Linked DNA regions of Macaca fascicularis. The protein of the gene in region 1 interacts with the protein of each later gene in a pairwise test. Links are inferred from orthologs where the notes say so. Each region holds a gene or a part of one and is shown in the gene's direction. Other genes may lie near its edges. The genes, in order: TNFAIP3 and YWHAH.

What was found.
Region 2: the proteins of TNFAIP3 (region 1) and YWHAH interact in a two-hybrid assay, tested with the Homo sapiens proteins (2 studies listed by BioGRID). The link is inferred for Macaca fascicularis from reciprocal best matches to the Homo sapiens genes TNFAIP3 and YWHAH.

Annotation. Positions count from the first base shown.
Region 1 is NC_088378.1:41,910,864-41,914,674, forward strand, and holds part of TNFAIP3 (tumor necrosis factor alpha-induced protein 3), read left to right. Parts: intron 1-289; exon of another isoform or gene 290-565; intron 566-666; coding exon 667-976; intron 977-3,811. UniProt on the Homo sapiens protein: Ubiquitin-editing enzyme that contains both ubiquitin ligase and deubiquitinase activities.
Region 2 is NC_088384.1:19,679,894-19,684,291, reverse strand, and holds the start of YWHAH (14-3-3 protein eta), read left to right. Parts: upstream 1-1,469; 5' UTR 1,470-1,662; coding exon 1,663-1,749; intron 1,750-2,627; exon of another isoform or gene 2,628-2,836; intron 2,837-2,963; exon of another isoform or gene 2,964-2,990; intron 2,991-4,343; exon of another isoform or gene 4,344-4,365; intron 4,366-4,398. UniProt on the Homo sapiens protein: Adapter protein implicated in the regulation of a large spectrum of both general and specialized signaling pathways. Binds to a large number of partners, usually by recognition of a phosphoserine or phosphothreonine motif.

The DNA of each region.
Region 1 (3,811 bases):
ATTCGGTTTTAACTCTTTATAAACATTAGAATAAACTTTATGAATACACACTTTATAAATACTTCTCTTTGGGAATAAAGAGGAAACACCAGCCAGCAGCCTAAGTGACAGCATAAAATTGCAAGATTTTTCATAAAGTATTTTACTGTCCTTCCAGCATAGGGGAGGGAGTGATAACTCAAGATTTGGCCCAAGAGTAGGATTGCCTGGTGGTGGTCTGAGGGGAGGAGCTACAGACTTGTCAGGGCTATGTTGAGCCCTTAACTGGCATCCGGTACTCCCCAAATCCAGCGCTGTTCAGCGTGGCCTCAGAATGAAACAGGAGCTTACGTTGGTTTTGAGGAGCAGTACCTGTTGCTGTCAGACAGGGTTGGCTCCCTGACAAAAGTTACTGAAAACACGGGTTATTCCCCTCCTCCTCAGTACCCACTCTCTGCCTTCCTTCTCCTGTTTAGGCTAATCTTTTCAAGTGATGTAACTTAAAACAGTCCAGTGTGAGTTAATCTCTGGGGCCAGCTAGTATCCCGGGAGTAGAGGTGCTAAGATCTTTTGCCTACAGATCAGGGTAATGACAAGATCAAACACTGGGGTTTCCTGCAGGCAGCTATATAGGAGTCGTATTAAAGTTAGGCTAATGGAATGGCTTTTTTTTCCTTTCCTTTTCAGGTGTTGGAGAGCACAATGGCTGAACAAGTCCTTCCTCAGGCTTTGTATTTGAGCAATATGCGGAAAGCTGTGAAGATACGGGAGAGAACTCCAGAAGATATTTTTAAACCTACTAATGGGATCATTCATCATTTTAAAACCATGCACCGATACACACTGGAAATGTTCAGAACTTGCCAGTTTTGTCCTCAGTTTCGGGAGATCATCCACAAAGCCCTCATCGACAAAAACATCCAGGCTTCCCTGGAAAGCCAGAAGAAACTCAACTGGTGTCGAGAAGTCAGGAAGCTTGTGGCGCTGAAAACGAACGGTAAAACTTGATCTGTTGTGCTTCTTTTGCCTGGGTGATAGCTCCCGCCTGCTGGGTCCCCATTCAAGCTTTACTAGCACAAGCCCAAGCTCAAATCAGTCTTGAGATTTAGTATTGAGACCTTAGTATAGAATCTCTATTCGGGGCATGTGATAATAGCAGACTTGTTTTGTGAATCTATTTATTAAGGATATTTTCTGATTGCGTATATTGCAGAGCACATTGAGGCTTGGAGAATGCATTTGTAAACACCATACCCCGATTAGGCAATTTGTTTCTCATTCTTGCAAATGTTTAATCATCTGTAAAATACCCTTCACTGGCCCGTAATGGAAATGTTACAAGCCTTTAAGTTCAAAAGGAAAGCATGGTGTGAAAACTGGTAGTACATTTGTTTCCCACTGTCATTAGAAAATGCTTGTGATGTTCTTACACTTCTTGAATTGGTAGCATTTTATGGGTTAACCAGTGAATGGCTGTTGAAGACATGAAGAACTTCGTTTGTCTCCTCCTCCTCTCTGACCTAGGTTCTATTGCCTATGCCCTGCAAGGTGAAATAGATAGCTGAAATTTTTAGCATGAATTTTAGACTTCACCTTCATTATTTTTAGGGGTTCTTAGTCACTGAATTCCTTCCTGTCTGTGCTGTTCTGCCAATGGCCTTTACCACTAGTAGCTATTTCCTATTCCAAGCTTTACTGTTTTGTTTTTTAATCATTTCCCTTGGGTAAGAATATGTGCATTAACAGGAATGTCAGAGCATACTGCTCCATGCAGGCACAAAATTCTACTCTATGGATGTGGATAATTATGACAATAAGCAAGTAGACTGTACAAGATCAATTAAATGCTCATAGTCTACATAAGAGCAGGAATCTCAGGTCCTTATATCTGTGACAGTCCCAAGCCATCCTAATAGAAATAATATGTCCAAGGGAAGAAAATCCTTGTTGACAATGATTACGATAAGAACACTAACTTAATTAACTTCATTGGTACATTAACTTTGGCTTTTTTTGACTTGGGTAACTTAGAGTGATTAGTGGACATGGGTTTTTAAATTTTGATTCTGGGGACTCTTGTACATTACCCCAACATCTTGCCTAGACTTATGAAACACTGATTCTTAGAAACATACATAGAAAGAAAACTGGGGATGGCTACTGTCTGCATTGTTCTTGGCATTAAATAAAGTGATACATAGAGGTAGGTAATTATGTGAAGTCATCATCACGGGGTTTATGTGCCTGACAATTTGTGGTTTTAATCCTCTCCCATTTGTTACCAAAAAGAGATGGAGTCAACTCTGGGGGAGTTAGAAACAAAGATTCTGCTGAATTAAAAATGTGGTAGAAAGGGGAAAACCTTATTAAGAGAATTAACTGACTTTTTGCTTTATTTCCTTAAGAAAGGAAATGCTCTATTTCCACTAGGAAAAAAAAAGGAATATAAATAGGAAACACTTATTTTGCAAATATGTCATTTAAATCAACAAGGAGCCACACTAGAAATAAAACTACAAAAGCAGGTGTATTTGTGTAACATTTTCTGGGAAATCATTTTTGGACTCAGAATCCTTTTGTTTCTTCACTTTCAAGAAAACTCCTTAAGATTCTAAAAAACGAAGAAAAGATATTTAGGGAGGGGAGGAAAACAAATGACTTTTTAAATTTGATTTTGATTAGCACCTTTTAAAAAAAATTAATCCTTCCCTTGATAGGAGGGTTCTTCAAAGGCAATATCTGTTTGGGGAGGGGGTGATTCACAAGTTTGCATTTGAGGATATGAGACTGTGGTGAATGAGGAAGGGAGTAGGTGGCATAAAATTGAAACTTCATGTGAAAAATTCCAGCGTCTATTGGCTGCAGCGATTTCACTTGTATAATGAGTAGCCCTATTCCAGCTCACCCTGACCACACCCACTTGGAAAGTCCAGGGTGCACTTCGCAGTTTAAATGTCTACACACCAGAACAAAAAGTACAATAGCTGTTGCTCAATTGCTAGTCAAATAACTTAGCACTGGGGAATTCCAGATGTTACTTAGGGAATTTTATACTGGTGCATCTCAATAAAGAACTGAAAGTAAGCACAAGAAGAAAAAAAGCCTTATCTTTGCTCTAGATTTTGCAAAGGGGAAATTTCAACAGAATGCAATCATTGCTACACGTCTGCCAAGACACAAGGCTTGGGTGATCTTTTTTGTTCATTTGTTTGAATACTTAGCTAGTTTTTCTAAATGTATAAATTGAAGGAATACTGGCTGTGGATATATATTTGAGGTTTTTTGGTTTCTTTACAGTTTGACTATAATTACAATTTGATAAAATTTCAAATAACTTTATTGCCCTACTTATAGAGTAATATAAGAAACAGTTTAACTTTTCTTTATAAAAAGTATTTTGCACTTGCCAAAGGAGATTAAGGAGTTAACGTTTTTTGTTTTAAACATTCCCCCAAAAGATTTATTGTTTGGGGGTTGAAAAAAATGCAGCCCATTGAATTGTGAGTTTTAAACTGGAAATGTCACAAATTAATGGCATACAATTAAACTTGTTTTTTGTTTTTTGTTTTTTTCTCAAAATGTCAGCCTTAAACACTGAATTATTTTCAAATTTAGACACCCAGGTGCTTTTTAACTTTTGTACTTTACAGTTACTAACAAGCAGGTTTGCATAAGGCATTTTTGAGAGCCGGACTAGCAGGCCATAGGTAATTCAGTGTTGTCAACGCCACTTTACACACCAGGAGAGGAAACTCCCAGGGCCCAAAGGCTAAAGTGGAATGGTCAAGTCATTTGCCATTGAGTCACAGCCAGACCATCCCTGTCTAGCAAG
Region 2 (4,398 bases), on another chromosome or scaffold:
TCTCCAGATGGAAAACAAGTCCAGAAACGGCCTAGTCTCCAGTTCCCTCCCTTCTCCTTTCAAACACGTCTTACTCTCTAGAGCAAGATTCCAGGCCTGAAATATGGCTTCTCAATTACCTAAGGATGAAGCCTCAAATCTTCCACCTGGCATTTAAAACATTCCGTAATCTTGTTTTACCCAACCTCACTTCCCATTGTTAGGCCTCTCTTCTCACCATCTCCCAGGTCACTGCCAAGCCTTTGCCCATGCTGTACCCCAGGCCTTAATCTCTTTCCTGACTCTACTCCAAGATCCAGCTTATCCCTGCGGGCTGAGCATGCAGTAGATGCTCAGTAAATTCTCAGCGAGCCCAAGGCCCCTTCTCCTACACTGCCTTTGGCATGTTGGAAGTCAGTTGGGGCCCTGTTTTAAGCATTATATTCCTAGCTTGTCGGGCAGCCCAGCCCAGGGCCTGGCACAAGGAACCCTCAGTATCCAATGCCAGCCAGGATTGGGAGGGGCTCAGTGACCAGCCAGTTGGGCCACCCCAGCTCTTTGCCACAAGAGGAAGTCCAGCCTGGGTTTGGACTCAGATCCTGGCCCCACCACTTAACAGGCTGTGTAAACTTGAGCAAGTCACTACCTTGCTTTTCCTCAGGTTCCACATTTTAAATATGGGGAGACCAGCTGTGTCCACGTGGGCTGGGTAGTGAGGATTAAAGAGGAGAATGCTCGTACGGGACTAGCCCTGGGCTGGTTCCTAATGTGTCCTGAATATTACTTGTCTCGGCCTGGTCATCCAGTCCCCTCTGGTGGAAGGCACAAGCCTGCCCAAGGCTATGTCTCAGGATGTGTGCGACTGCATGTGTCTGTGTGTGTGGCGGGGCCGTCCCCGAGGGTCGGACTCGATTCTGCCCGGACCAGTGCAGACCCAAGCACAGGGTGTGGCCTAGCAGAACCCACGGACAGGCAGGGCTCGGGGCGGGCGGGACGGCTGGGGCGGGGCGGGGCGGGGCTGGGCTGACCCGCCCCTTGGGGCACGCGGCCTCCCGGCTTCTCCGCGGGTAGGTTTGCTTGCTTTTGGGGCCCTTCTCAAACCACATCGCTAACGTGGTTGAAGTGGTGCGTTTCAGGGTGGCGCTATGACAATGCACTCCCCGTGCAGCCGCCATCACCGCGCCGCCTCCTCCGGCTCCGCAGTCTCCTGCCTGGCTTTCCCTTCTCCACCTCCATCTCTGCGGCGGTAAAATGCAGCACTCGCAGAGCGCCTGCGCGGCTTTCAAGCGGGGCGGCGGCGGCGGTGGCTATTTATAGTAGGTGACGTCACCTTGAAATAGACCGTTAGGGCCGGCCCGCCCTTCCCCCCTCCCACTCCCGCCGCTCCCCGCCGCCCGGCCTGGCCACTCTCACTGCGCAGGCGTCGTTTCGTCCTCCCATCCCCCAGCGCGACCGCCTCTCCTCCCTCGGCGGTGTCCGCGGCGCGAGCCACAGCGCGCGGGGCGAGCCAGCGAGAGGGCGCGAGCGGCGGCGCTGCCTGCAGCCTGCAGCCTCCGGGTCGGCCGGCGAGCCAGTGCGCGTGCGCGGCGGCGGCCTCCGCAGCGACCGGGGAGCGGACTGACCGGCGGGCGGGCAAGCGAGCCAGCGGCGTGAGGCGCGAAGCGAGGCCGAGCCGCGAGCGACATGGGGGACCGGGAGCAGCTGCTGCAGCGGGCGCGGTTGGCCGAGCAGGCGGAGCGCTACGACGACATGGCCTCCGCCATGAAGGCGGTGAGCGCGCCGGGAGCCCAGGCGGCTGGCCGGGGAGGCCTGGCTTTGGGGAGGGACGGGGATGGCCGCGGGCGGCGTTCCCCTCCCGGCCATGGGCGACCCCACGACCCGGCTGGGCGTGGCCGCCCGCGCTTCCCGCTCCCGCTGGGCGCCCCGCCACTTCCTGAGGCTGGGCCCGGGCTGGGGGATCCGGGAGGGTGCATCTCGGGGTCGCGGCGGCAGCCCCGTTGGGGGCGGGCGGGCCGGGGTCGCCACATCTTAGTTCGGATCCCGGGCGGGGGCAAAGGGTGCCCTAGGGGTCGTGAAGGAGCCACATTCCTCCTACTAGCGCGTTTCACCGGACCCGGGGGCCCCCCCTCTCGTCTTCCTCCGTTCCCCAACTTGGAATAAAGAATCACCTAGTGAGTGGCGCCCTGTCTCAGCTGGTTTTCTCTGCTACGTCCTGAAGTCTGTAATTCCGATCTGTTTTGCTCTGCTTGTTCGAATTGTTCTGGTTTCATCTTCCCACTCCTGGGGGTCTGGCTTTGTGTGCGAAGACCCCTTTCCTGCAGTCTAGGCGTGGACGAGGGCGAGAGAGGGGGCGGAGGGTGTGGGGCCCATCACAGCCCCAGGTTTGCTGCTGCGCTGTCTGCCTGGAGATTAAAATGAAACGTGACTTCTAGGTGAGACTAATCTGTGTGCCTTTGCATTCCCGAGACCCTTATAAATCGATTCTGCAGCTTCTTCTCCGGTGGAGGAGTCGTGCCCAGCCACACCCTAGCAAAATACCGTGGGTCACACACCACCTGCATTTCTGAGTTCCGGTTACCATCTCACTCACTCTTCACGTTCTTTTACGTTTTCTCTAAATGAGTATTTCCTCTCACTGTGTCAAGGTCACACAGTGATAGAACTACAGCTGCGGCCACCATCCTGCTATGTTCAGTGTACAACCTCCTGAGACCTGGGAGGAGCCCCTTGAACCCCGCCTTAGACCTACAGATGCAGAAATTCGGGGGTGAGACTCATATCTGCATCGTAACCAGCTCTCACAGGCGATTTTTAGCTGGCTTAAGTCTGAGAATTACTGCCCATGACTATAGTAAATGTATCCTTTGCTGGCCTTTTGGAGGGAGTTGCGAAAAAACTGCAAATACAAAGGCTCCCTAAAATCTTAAGTCATTTGGAAAGCTCATTTGAAGGCTGTTGACCTTAATGTCAGACAAAATATGTAGTTGGGGCTAATATTTAGGATTGTTCAGGTAAGAAAGGTACTTGAAGAGTTGCCTTTCCTGTGGTGTCCTTGTTACACACAACTGGGTGTGTTTGGAGACCAGCCACACTGTTGCCCGTATGTTGATTTGTGGGTGATCTTGACTTCAGCACTATTAGCATGCTGTTTTGGTGAGGCAGGAGGTTTTCTTCCAAACCGGGGGGGGCCGTCTAGGTCTGGAGGCTGAACTTCATGTAATTCAGGGGGTCCTTTAAAAGAAAATCTAAAATATAATTTTTGCATATTGTACAGAAATGGGGCTGACTGAATGCATTTCCTTGGAAGGGATCCCGAACCTTAATTTTCTTTGGGATACAGCTGCCTCTGTCCACAGCAGGTCACACTTAAAACTCTCCTCCCCAGTTACTGAGTGGTGCTGGGATTATGCAGGCTGAGGCCTCGCCACACATTTTCATGAAGTGGTTGCTCACCCTCTTAAGTGAGACGTAAAGACTGCAGTGTTAGGAGCCCTTTGGGAAATAAATGTGAAAAGAAAGGAGGGACAAGGTTTAAATGAAGGGGAATGGAGGTGAAGGAAAAATGGCTAGAAGGTGCGTTCTGAAACAATCAGAAACCTGAAGCAACTTGAAATGGGGGAAAAAGGCAAGAATGGAGAGATGTTACCAGAACAAAATCTAGTTTGAGTAGAGAAAAAGATTGGCTTTCTAGTAGGCTTGTAAAATGCTTTCCTGCAGCTAGCTACTAGTGTCCATAGATCTTCTCTGGAGGGTTAAGGTAGCCTTTTGTAAACCAAAGGAATCTATAATATCTATATTTGAAATAATGAGTTGGAAAAGCCAGCCAGCATTGAAGAGTCAATCCAAGCTTTAATTCTGCCATCTCAGAATTGTGATAAACCATTTCTCCTCCATCATCTCAATGTAATATATTGTGCTTATAGATATTTTCTTTAAAAGAAAAATAATATGTTGGAAAGGACTGGCAGGAGTCACTTTCCCTGCTAAATTGGTGTTTGTAGATTAAATTCTTAATGTTACTGGGATGACTCAGTCTCTATTTTATTAATCTCTTTTGGAAAAGGTGTAAATTTCAGTAACCCTCTGGGTTTACCTGGGCTTTGTTCAGAGCTGTGGAGGTAAGTAGCCTGTTGTAGGGAGGATGGAGCAGGACACCTGTGTTGAGGATATATTCTGATGCCACCACTCTGTAACCTTGAAACTTAATCTTGGCTTTAGGTCCTCTGAAGTATAAAAGTAGTGATGTTATTAACAAGTCAGTTTTGCCTTCGGTCTTCTAACTTGCTTTCTGTTTCCTTCACAATTAAAATGCTCACCTGATAATACTGCCTTCCTGTAATGATTGATGTTCCTTATTCTACCAGCGTCACCTGGAGGACAGTGTTGGTAAGCTTGAAGAAAAATCGTGCATATTGGAAA